3 linked regions of the Caenorhabditis elegans genome follow. The protein of the gene in region 2 purifies or fractionates together with the protein of the main gene of each other region. This does not show direct contact. Each region holds a gene or a part of one and is shown on either strand. Other genes may lie near its edges. The genes, in order: rpl-4, rpl-7 and icd-1.

What was found.
Region 1: the proteins of rpl-7 (region 2) and rpl-4 purify together in Caenorhabditis elegans (affinity purification with mass spectrometry; 2 studies listed by BioGRID, with this or other methods). This does not show direct contact.
Region 3: the proteins of rpl-7 (region 2) and icd-1 purify together in Caenorhabditis elegans (affinity purification with mass spectrometry; 2 studies listed by BioGRID, with this or other methods). This does not show direct contact.

What each region holds. Positions count from the first base shown.
Region 1 is NC_003279.8:4,645,015-4,648,626, forward strand, and holds rpl-4 (Large ribosomal subunit protein uL4), read right to left. Parts: upstream 1,950-3,612; 5' UTR 1,944-1,949; coding exon 1,772-1,943; intron 1,766-1,771; exon of another isoform or gene 1,712-1,765; intron 1,690-1,711; coding exon 1,427-1,689; intron 1,375-1,426; coding exon 1,267-1,374; intron 1,218-1,266; coding exon 723-1,217; 3' UTR 648-722; downstream 1-647. Other genes in the region: lmd-2 (LysM domain-containing protein), read left to right, coding at 171-290, 339-611; B0041.8 (Plus3 domain-containing protein), read left to right, coding at 2,410-2,551, 2,599-2,867, 2,917-3,105; B0041.5 (Solute carrier family 35 member F5), read right to left, coding at 3,426-3,612.
Region 2 is NC_003279.8:109,124-112,897, reverse strand, and holds rpl-7 (Large ribosomal subunit protein uL30), read right to left. Parts: upstream 1,861-3,774; 5' UTR 1,844-1,860; coding exon 1,833-1,843; intron 1,738-1,832; coding exon 1,638-1,737; intron 1,612-1,637; exon of another isoform or gene 1,462-1,611; intron 1,389-1,461; coding exon 1,191-1,388; intron 1,144-1,190; coding exon 927-1,143; intron 880-926; coding exon 671-879; 3' UTR 626-670; downstream 1-625. Other genes in the region: F53G12.9 (GST_C_6 domain-containing protein), read right to left, coding at 1-198, 246-371, 417-533; Ras-related protein rab-11.1, read left to right, coding at 2,854-2,893, 2,942-3,063, 3,115-3,406, 3,452-3,633. UniProt on the Caenorhabditis elegans protein: Binds to G-rich structures in 28S rRNA and in mRNAs. Plays a regulatory role in the translation apparatus; inhibits cell-free translation of mRNAs.
Region 3 is NC_003280.10:6,586,924-6,590,492, forward strand, and holds icd-1 (Transcription factor BTF3 homolog), read right to left. Parts: upstream 1,733-3,569; 5' UTR 1,718-1,732; coding exon 1,643-1,717; intron 1,599-1,642; coding exon 1,485-1,598; intron 1,439-1,484; coding exon 1,330-1,438; intron 1,281-1,329; coding exon 1,152-1,280; intron 1,103-1,151; coding exon 1,044-1,102; 3' UTR 654-1,043; downstream 1-653. Other genes in the region: C56C10.7 (putative trafficking protein particle complex subunit 13 homolog), read right to left, coding at 158-242, 290-458, 504-555; vps-32.1 (Charged multivesicular body protein 4b), read left to right, coding at 2,788-2,925, 3,207-3,335, 3,393-3,569.

The sequences.
Region 1 (3,612 bases), 4.5 Mb from region 2:
TAAAATTTTGATTTCTTCCGGGTTATCGAGTTTTCGTTTTTGCATTAGTTTTTTTGCAAAATTGAAAAATTCATTAAAAATAATTTTACAGTTATATTCGATCATTTTCTATAACTTAAAGCAAAATCCTTAATCGGTCCTCACAGCACATTTAAAATGTGATTCTACAGGTTCGAAGATACGGCACAACCCAAAGTCAATCTTCACCAGTTACACCATGTTCATATACAATTTACCAAGTTCAAACCGATGATACACTTGAAAGAATAGCATTAAAGCATAATTGTTCGGTTGGTTCCATTTGTTTCTCCTTATCTGTTGTTCATGTACGATTTCAGGTTTCATCTCTCGTTCGTGCAAACAAGCTTTGGTCTCCCAGCGCCTTGTTCATGAAGCAATTCATTAGAATACCCATTTTCAATTCACAACAACCTAATCTCAAACCATCTTTGCAAGAAACTCAATGCAAAATTGTGCCTGCCACTACTGAACGGGTCGACAGTAGCCGAGAAGAAAAATCTATGAAAGATATTTTACAGCGCATAGATCGGAACATCAAATCGTTTCGGAAATGTGATAACCCTAGCAGCTCAGCTTATGATCATATTTAAATTATTTTTGAAATAAATCTGTTGTCAAAGTAAATCGTTCTGGAAATTTAAACAATGCGTTCAACAAATTAAATCGGTTATTAACAAAAAAGTTTATCAACAACAGAATACTTATTTCTTCACGTTGGCCTTTGAAGCCTTGCGGAGGATAGAAGCATATGGGTTCAACTTGTACAAGAGGGTTCTCTTCTTGAGTGGGTTGCGGTGGACCTTTGGAAGCACTGGGTTCTTCTTTGGAGCTCTGATAGCCTTAACGACCTCTTCGGAACGGATGATGCGGGAGAAGTCGGAGTTGGCCATGATTGGGAGTGGGACAGACCATCCCTTCTTGAGTTGAGAAGAGTTGGCAACGGTGGTTCCGTAGATGGTATCAAGCTTCTTGAAGGCAGACTCGGTCCAGATGATAAGACGTCCGAGATGTCCTCCTGGGGCGAGCTTGAGAAGGTTGAGTCTCTCAACATTCATGACATCGACTCCTGGGATGTTGCGGAAGGCACGAGCGCACTCAGCATCTTGTCCGTAGATAACAACTGGTCCGAGCTTCTGCTTGTGTTGACGGTTGCGGAGCTTTCCCTTTCCGGCGCGGTTTCTCTTCGAGTTGTAAACCTTAAAACTGTTACGTTAAAAACAAATTTAATTTTTTTAAATGGTATACCTTCTCGATATCAGCCCACAAGTGGGAGCGACGGAGGAAGACGACGGCCTCCTTGGTCTTGCGGAAGCTTTCGACCTTGTCGGAAACAACAAGTGGGACCTCAGCGACCTAAAAAATAGTACTGTAAATAGGAACAAAACTTTTAAAAAAGTTTACTTACTTGATCGATGACGTGTCCACGAGCTTGGAGAAGAGCTGGGATTCCGGAGGCAGCAATAGCTGAGGAAACAGCGTATCTCTTCTGGGCAATGTTGACGTTGCGGTGCCAGCGGCGGAACACCTTGAGTGGGGCGAACATGTGTCCTCCACGGCACATATTTCCGAAAGCTCCCTGTCCGGAACGGTGGGTACCTCCTCCGCGAACACGTGGAATACGGGCAACGGCACGTCCAGTTCCCCAGGACTCAGCAGAGTGTTGCTTTCCTGAAATAAATAGTAATTGAGGAACACAGAAGTTAGTTTGAAATTAAAATAATCAATAACCGAATCTAATTATGTCACTTACCGGCCTTGGTGTTAACGGCATGGGCCTGTCTTCTGTTTCTGCGGACCTGATCGGCGATGAAGCTCACCAAGTCTGGGCGGATTGGAGTACGGAAAACGGCTGGGAGCCGGATTTGAGATTGAGTGGCCTCGTACTTTTCATCGTACACAGTCACGAGCGGTCTGGCCGCCATTATTACCTGCAATCAACAGAAATAGTAAAAAATAGATTAATTTTAAAAGAAAATGATTCAAAAAATGCGAGAAGAGTAAAGAAAAAATGATGATATTTTAGGCAATATTCAGATTTTTCGACCGAAACAGGCTTAGGATATTCAAAACCTTATTTTAATACATTCCAAATGTGAAAATATCACCGAAAATCTTTTTTATATTGAAAAAACGAAAAAAGTTCCTAAAAAATTTCAGAAAACAGGGAAATCGTGTTTAAAGGGAGGCAAAAATTAGGGTATTGGCTGAGTATCCAACGTCGGGGTCTCGCCGCGATGAGACGAAATGTCGGCAGGCAACTTGTGTCAATTTACGAGGGCGCGGTATCCGCTGATTTCAAACCCGATCCTTCCATTTTCTTGCTTAAAAACGTTTTCAAATAGTTTAATTGTGTTTTTACTTGTTTCAATACATAAGTGTTTGGGATAGATGCTGTCTTCTACATCAACATTCTTTCCTCTCGTGAAAATCGACTACAAGCGAATGGAATTATTGCGGAAAGCGGCACAGATGAAAAATTTCCGTGTAAATGAGGATACGCTGAGAAAATTGAACGACGTTGAAACAGTTGGTATGTGTTTTACAATAATATGTTTTGTTAAATAATTGAGTTTTCAGGTGAGATAATTTCCACAACACCGTCGACATCGTCAGTTGAATCATCAGGATTTCGAAGAAATGCGAAAAGAAAAATGGACGATGATTCGAACACCAGTATGTTTTCAGAAGAACAATGCTCTCATTGTGGATGCCGAATGCTTCGAGTTGTTGATCCAGGACGTCCCGATCGTATGATGGTTCTGGAGTGTATGCGCTCAAATTGTCTGGCATCTGTGAAACTTACTGATCTTCCAGTTGGGACGGTCATTGGAAAGGAAATTAGTTTGGTAAGTTGATAATTTATTTTGAAATTAAAAACAATCATTTTATTTTCAGACTCCGAAATCCGCCTACAACACTCTAGCTCGCTACTATCCCAAAAACCGTTACACTCCGGAATTGGATTCATTCGATCAGGAACAACATGGAAAGCGTAAAGCGAATGTCAAGATTTTTGAGTCATCTGCAAGAGGAATATTCATTGATGTTCCAGGACAAGACACCAAAGCTCGCTTTGTGGCATAATTTTAATATTAATCGTTAAATTACTAGTAATATGCCGGGTTGATCACAAAACCAAAAAGCCAACGCTGTATTAATTTTCACTTCCGATTTACTGAACGATCTGAATTGTCTGATAAATATCAAGTTTATAAAAGTAACATAAAACGATATTTCTTCAAACATTTATTTTTCCCGAATTTAATACAGTGCAAAAAAAATTAAATATGACTAGTTGATCAGAGGGGAGTGTGTCACAACCTTCGAATGCCTATAAAGCGACCAGTAGAACAAGAGAAAATAGAGATTCTGAGAGAGTTTAAACAATGTTTCTAAGAGAGATGCTACTCGTCCGATAGACTATCCATAAGATGTTCATTGTCCGGCGATAATGATTCCACTTTTCGTACTCGTTTTGAAAGCCCTTTTCGTATTGAAGTTGACGGATTTTGTGCATATGCAGCGCCAACGAATGCCACGAGGATCGGAATCGATGCAATAACTTGTGCCAGTGTTGGAGCTTTGCTTCGA
Region 2 (3,774 bases):
CTGCATCTGCGGTACAATCCAATTCCTCCAAAAATAGAGCTGAACAAGCCCGAAGTCTTCGATAATCTTACGATCATCGCGGAGCCACGTGAAATCTTGGCCTCGCGAGTAGGCGAGCATCCAAGTAAGCTCGTCGAGCAAAGCGCTCAATGCGAGAGCCTGTGCTCGCTCTTTTGGAGTCAGGCCCGAGTCCAGAGACTGGAAGAATATTTAAGCTTTTTCTAAAATTCTAGTTTTAAGCCAACTTTTCCATATTTGGCGAGCAGATAATCAAGTCCTTCCATCAAATTTTTGAAGAAATACCCATCGACATCAATCAATGGGTATAGGTGCTCACGAGGGAGTACATTGTAGAGAGAACATTGCGTTGTCTGGATTTAAATCTGGACTATGTTTATTAACCTAAATGCTCTCACTTCATAGGGAATTAGCTTGCTCCGAAGAAAAGTTTCTAGAAATAAACAGGATGGAGCATAGTAGGGAACAGTGACTGTTCTCGGGAGAGTAGTCAGCAAAGCGGTTTTACGATTCATCTGAATGATGAGACGCTTCATGAAATGCGAGATGAGTCGAGCCAAGACGATCACGTTTCATGATTATTTATGCACATAATTAAACAACGTCAAACAATAACGATTTATCCGGAAGGAAGGTATGAACAACAAACAAGTTAGACCATTTTTCGGAGAAGGTTGTTGATTTGATCTTCTCTGTTTCCGAAGTCTCCTCCTTCAACGAAGTGGTTGGTCTTCTTGGTCCATCCTCCAGTTGGGTTGTTGAGCTTGAAGGGCCACAAGAAGTTGGTGGCCTCCTTGAAGTGTGGTCCGACGGTGGCGATCTCGTGGGCCAAATCCTCAAGACAGATGATGTTGAACTTTCCTGAAAACAATTAAATAAGAATTAAAAAGCATAAGTTTTCAAATTACCGAGGCTCTGCTCGACGATGGTGTTGTCGGTGATTGGGACACGGTTTCCGTCAACCTTGGCGTATCCGCGCTTGTAGAGGAGATCGTGGATGGTCTTGTTGTTTGGATAACCCCAAGCTACGTATGGCTCGATGATACGGAGAAGTGGAAGAGTAGCCTTGTTCAGCTTGACGAACACTCCGTTGTTGATCTGACGAAGACGGAGGATCTGGAGAGCCTGAAAACAAAGAATGGTTATTAAAAAACTCATTAACACAATTTCACCTTTCTTGGCTTTGGATGAAGCTGGTTGATACCGCGAATTCTGACGACGAAGGCGACCTTGTGCTCAGCTGGAACGTAGAAGTCTCCCTTGGCCTCAGCCTCGCGCTTGAGTCTGAGTCCTTCCTTTTGGGCGTTTCTGTACTCCTGGACGTATTTCTCAGCACGCTTGAAGTATTGGGTCTTCTTCTCCTTGTTCTTCTGTAAAAAATTTTATTTTTAATGCAGGATTAGTTCAAATTAATTTTCAAACACCTAAAAGAAAATTTAAACTTTAAAATTTCGAATTGTCATCGTGTTATTGAGACGCATTCTGAATTGAATACACCTCACCCAAAAACAAGATAATTCTTATAGCTCAGTTTTGACGGCTGGCTTGGATAATAGTGGATCCTAAAACCAGTGCTTTTGAAGAGCATTTTCTGTTTTCTGACAGTTAAATAAACTTACAGCGGCGACGGTCACCTTGTGTTGAGCAGCCTTGGTGCGGGCATCGGCTCTCTGCTTTCTGCGCTTGAGCACAGTTTCTGGAACCTGTGGCACTTTCTTTCTGAAAAACCAAGAATTAATATCAAAATTGAAGTATTTGAAAGTCAGGCCTAAAAGTAAATTTCAATCTAATATAAATTTATAAAGAAAACTTACGTTGGAGCCATTATAGGCGATTGATTACCTGGAAAATCAAAATATTAATCAGAAAAGAAAATTATAAGATATTGAAACAGAGGAGCAAGTTTTCAAAACTAAATTATTTCAGTATTTTTCGAATGTTCAGCATTTTCTTCACGAAAACTATAAAAAACGCGTATCAGAATTACGGGAAATTAGTTCTAAAATTTATTCTGATGAAAATTTAAGAAAATCAATGAAAAATGCTCTGAAAAAACGGAAAAATTCGTTAGGCCAAAAAGAAAAAAATGTAAAATTGAGATTCCGTTGCGCCGCTGCGAAAGGGGTACGGTAGTTGTCGTGCCGAGACCCGAGGAGGCTTGCGCTGCGGCTAGCGTCGCGTACCCTCAGACCGACGTGGCTGCGCCGGTGCGCCTGACCTGTTTTACGTTCGATTTTATGGGTTTCACACGCATTTCGCGTTCGGAAAAGCTTATTCTGGATGTTCACAGCCATAAAACTAATTATTTTTTTCAATTTTTAGCTGAAATTATCAAAAAAGAACACCCAGAGAAAGCTTTCCCTTGTTAAAAATATCCTGTTCAACTATTTCGAAATCGTGTCGACAAACAAAGTTCGGCCGCTCACCTTCCCTTTTTCGGGTATGATAAGCCTCAAATACTCTTTCATAACACACTTCTATATACATTTTCACATTTTTCTTCTGACTAACCACCCTCATATATTGATAAAATTCAATATAAAACTCCCAACTCCATATACTTTGAATCATTCTTAAATCAAGTTCACTTATATTTTTTCAATCCCCGTCGAGATAGACAACCGGTTCCTGACTCCGCGTTTGTGTCGGGAACAGAACATAAAAATATTCTCCGCCGATAAAACAGTGTCTCGTTCTTTTAATATCGATTTTACAACAAAACATTGCGCCCGGCTGATGAATCATGTGACCAATGCCCTTTTTCTTTTTTACAATCGTCCCAATATATACACAACTTTCAAACAAGCTTTATCATTTTACAGCTCAGCAGTAAAGATGGGCTCTCGTGACGATGAATACGACTACTTGTTCAAGGGTAATTTTGTTTTTCATTTTTCAATTCCCAAACGAAAAATTGTTTCAGTTGTTCTGATTGGAGACTCAGGCGTCGGAAAGTCGAATCTCCTGTCTCGTTTCACAAGAAATGAGTTCAACTTGGAATCAAAATCAACAATCGGAGTCGAGTTTGCCACGAGAAGCATCTCGGTGAGGAACTTCATTAGAATACACTTATGATTCAAATTATTATTTTTGTAGGTAGAAGGCAAGACAGTGAAGGCTCAAATTTGGGATACTGCTGGACAGGAACGTTACCGTGCCATCACATCCGCTTACTATCGTGGGGCTGTCGGAGCTCTCCTAGTCTACGACATCGCTAAGCATGTGACGTACGAGAATGTTGAGCGATGGTTGAAGGAGCTTCGTGATCACGCCGATCAGAACATTGTGATTATGTTGGTCGGAAACAAGAGCGACTTGCGCCATTTGCGTGCAGTTCCAACAGACGAGGCCAAGATCTACGCCGAAAGAAATCAATTGTCGTTTATTGGTAAGTTAAACTAATCTATTGCGTTTATATATTTTTTTTTTTCAGAAACATCTGCCCTCGACAGCACCAACGTTGAAGCAGCTTTCACTAATATCCTGACGGAAATCTACAAATCAGTATCCAACAAGCATGTAGGAACTGACAGACAAGGATATGGCGGTGGCAGTGGTACAATCATTCCTTCGCCAGCGTCCGACCCACCAAAGAAGCAGTGTTGCATCCCATAAATCACATCGTGTTTTTTTTTTTCAGTCTAACGTGTGTATTTTTCGAAATGCCTTGTCCATTTAATTTACTGCCCCCGAAATCCAAATGATTCGCTCTTAACATCCGCGAGTTTTATCGAATTCTTGCAAGCACTGCGTTTG
Region 3 (3,569 bases), on a different chromosome or scaffold from region 2:
AATTTGAATTATTTTATCATTAATTTGAGTTTTCGTTTTAATATAAAAAAACTATGAAAATCGATAAATTCCGCAGCAACCAGTTTGAATTTCCAGTGAGCGAAGAAATTTAATTTTTTTTTACTTTTTATCTTAAAAAATGAGTCCATTTACTTACTTTTAGGCTCACACTAGAGACAGTCTTCTCGCTTTCGTTTACAACATTTACATAGAAAGTAAACGTCTCTCCCAGATAGATATTTCTGAAACGAAACGGTTTTTTAAACAGCGCCTTGATCAATCGACTCACTCGAACATTTGTGGTGCAATCAAATATTCGCCGATTGGAAGATCTTGTCGAGATTCTTTCGATATTTCTGAAACTTTTCCAGCGAGAAGTTCACCGAATCCTGTAGGATCGACGGGATCGTGGGAGAAACCATCGACAGGAGCAAATTTTGGACGAGCCAATCTCATAACTAAAATCGAAGCTATGATTGATTAATGATGAGAACTAAAATTACCCCGCAGAGCAAGAAGCTGTTGTGAAGAAGAACTTGCAGGATTGTCAGCCATTGTCCTGATTTATAAATAATTAGCTTTCCGCCGGGATGAAATCACAGTATAACTTTTCGGAATTTCTAACCTTACAAAATATTCTTTCGAGCTGGAATATTTGTGCAACTTTTATTGAGTTTAACAAAATGGAAGTCAGTGGAAAACTACCCAAAATAACGGAAAATAAACACCGAGGAACAGATATTACTAGAAGGATCCCCGGAACCCCTAAGAATTCAAAATCATCGGAACGTAGAAAGCTTGCTTTAAATACATAGCTAACATTTATTAGCCATTTGAGGATCGGGAATAAATTTGTATACAAAACAAGTATAACAACGAACACTAATGGGGGCGGAAAAAAAGGTGACAGAGCAAGTATTTTTTTAAAGAGATTCATTGAAATCGATCAACAGTAACAAGAAAAATGGGATATACTAATGCGGATGCTATCCGTACCGTTCATCTCACAAAACTCGCGAATTGGTCGATGAAAGGGTAGTGATTTATTGCTCATCGGCTTTCGTCTCGTTCTTTGAGGCGGCGTCGAAGTCTCCAACAAGTTCTGAAAAATGAACCTGTTATTTAAAAAAAATCTTTTATGATTTTCCAACCTGGCACATCTTCGTCCTCTCCCTTTCCATCTGGTCCGAGCTTGGTAACGTTGTTGGCAAGTTTCTTGAGGTGGGTGAGGGACTCTGGACCGAGTTGGTTGAGGATTCCTGGGAGCATTTCAGTGATCTCTGCAAAATATGTAAGGTTAAAAACATTCAGCCAATGAGCAATACTTACGCTTGTTATCGGCTGATCCTGTGACAGAGAAGGTATTGGCTGGAACAGAGGTTTGGACTTTTGGGTTGTTGAAGTGGATAACGGTTCCATCGTCCTTAATCATGTTGACCTGAAAAGTTACAGAAATTAAATTAATACTTTAAATCAAAGTTTACCTCCTCGATTCCTGGAATGTTGGTGACAGAGAGTTTCTTCAAGTTGCTTTGAAGCTTCTTGTCATCGGCAGCAGCGGTCTTGTGGATGACCTTCTTCTTTCTGCGTGGAGTTCCCTGAAAGAAATAGGAGAGATAAAATTATAAATTTAAATATTTACCTTTCCTCCAATTCTGACATGCTCCTGTTGAGCTTGGAGCTTCTTGATTCTCTCCGCAATAGCCTTGCTATCCATTTTTGGAAGGATTACCTGAAGACGAAAAATATAATTAAAGACGTGAAAACGTGAGAACAAAAAGGATAAAGCCAGTTAAGAATATTTATTCCTAAAATAACAAAGGGACGGGGAAAATGCGGACAAACGCGAAAAACGGAAATGTAAGTTTATCAATCGAATCAGTTTTAGCCTAAATTCAGGCACGGAAACGAATACACCTACGAGATCGACAGAAAATTATGAAAATGGTGTAAACAATAATGAAATAGAATCTAAAAAGATAGAAAGAAGTCAAAAACAATGAAATTCAGAAAAAATCACCGAAACGGTAGAAAATTTTTTCGCGAGACCCGAACATTCCGTGCGTATGTGCCCCTTGCTTTAAAATTTCTTGATATAGGGGTAAGGGGCACATACGCAGAATCTGGCTTGCTGCCAGTCGTTTTCCTCTCACCCTCTCTGTCTCGTCGTTTCTCATACTCCTTTCTTTCTCTATTTCTCTATATCTCGCTTCATCATTAAAATGTCAAAGCTATTTCGCAATTTTCTCGCTGTCTCGTTCTGCCATACCATGAATCACAAGGGTTTCTGGGCTTTATTTAAGTTGTGAAATTCTAGTTTAGAAACTCCTTCTTTCCTCATTTTCTTTTGAATTTTCTTTTCAATTCACTACCCTTTCCCGCAACGTACTTATCGCAATCTTTCATTCGAAGCAATGCCTTCTTAACGTGCTCCGTGTTTCGCCAGCTCGCTGTTAATCGATCGCCGCTCCGGCAATTGTCGTTTTGTTTGTATTAAATCTCCATAGCAATTCTCTCAAAGGCGGGCCATTGCTATATTGCTAGTAAAACAAGTTCCCAATTTTACTTTTCAATACATTCTTTGACTGATGTATCATGTGATCTCTTTTTTGTTCTTCTCGATTACACTATCTAAAAATGATGACGTATTTGCTTCGCGCCTATTTGGTTGAAGTGATGATTCATCCATTGATTGTCGTCTCCACTTGTGCTTTTTTCCTACGTCCTACCACTTCCTTTTAAGCGTTTTGTATATTCGCTTTTTCATTTATTTTTTTTTTGCAGAAAATGAGCCTGTTCGGCAAAATTTTCGGAGGCAGGAAGCAAGAAGCTCCGTCTACTCCACAAGAATCTATTCAAAAACTTCGGGAAACAGAGGAGATGCTTGAGAAGAAACAAGAATTCTTGGAGAAAAAAGTTATCGACGTAGGTTGGAAGATAATTTTTAAGAACAGGACCATTAATAAGTGTTTGTGCTGAAATCTAAATTTGTAAACTATCTGTTTGTGACGTAATTAAAACATTGCTCAGCATTTGGATTGTTGACTGACGTCAAATCAAATTTTAGTCGAGAAAAGTTAAAAAAGATTTTCTGATAGGATACATTTGGGAAATTGGAATCATAGTTTTATAATTCCAGTTTCCAACAAAAAATAATATTCTAAAATTAACATCAAATTTCGGACATTTAATTGAGAAACTTTCAGGAAAAGCAAAATGCCGTGAAGTATGGAACGAAAAACAAGCGAATGGCTCTCCAGTGTTTGAATAGAAAGAGAAATTTCGAGAAGCAGTTGGCCCATATTGACGGAGTTTTGTCTACTATCGGATATCAGGTTGGTATATAAGGGAAATATTATAAAAATTAATTGAACAGCACGGTTTTTTTCCAGAGAGAAGCCCTCGAAAATGCTTCAACGAATGCTGAAGTTCTCAATGTTATGGGAACTGCTAGCAAGGCGTTGAAAGCGGCTCATAACAACATGGATATCGACCAAGTTCATGATTTGATGGAAGACATAGCTGAGCAACAAGAAGTGGCAAACGAAATCGCTGAAGCTATTTCAAAC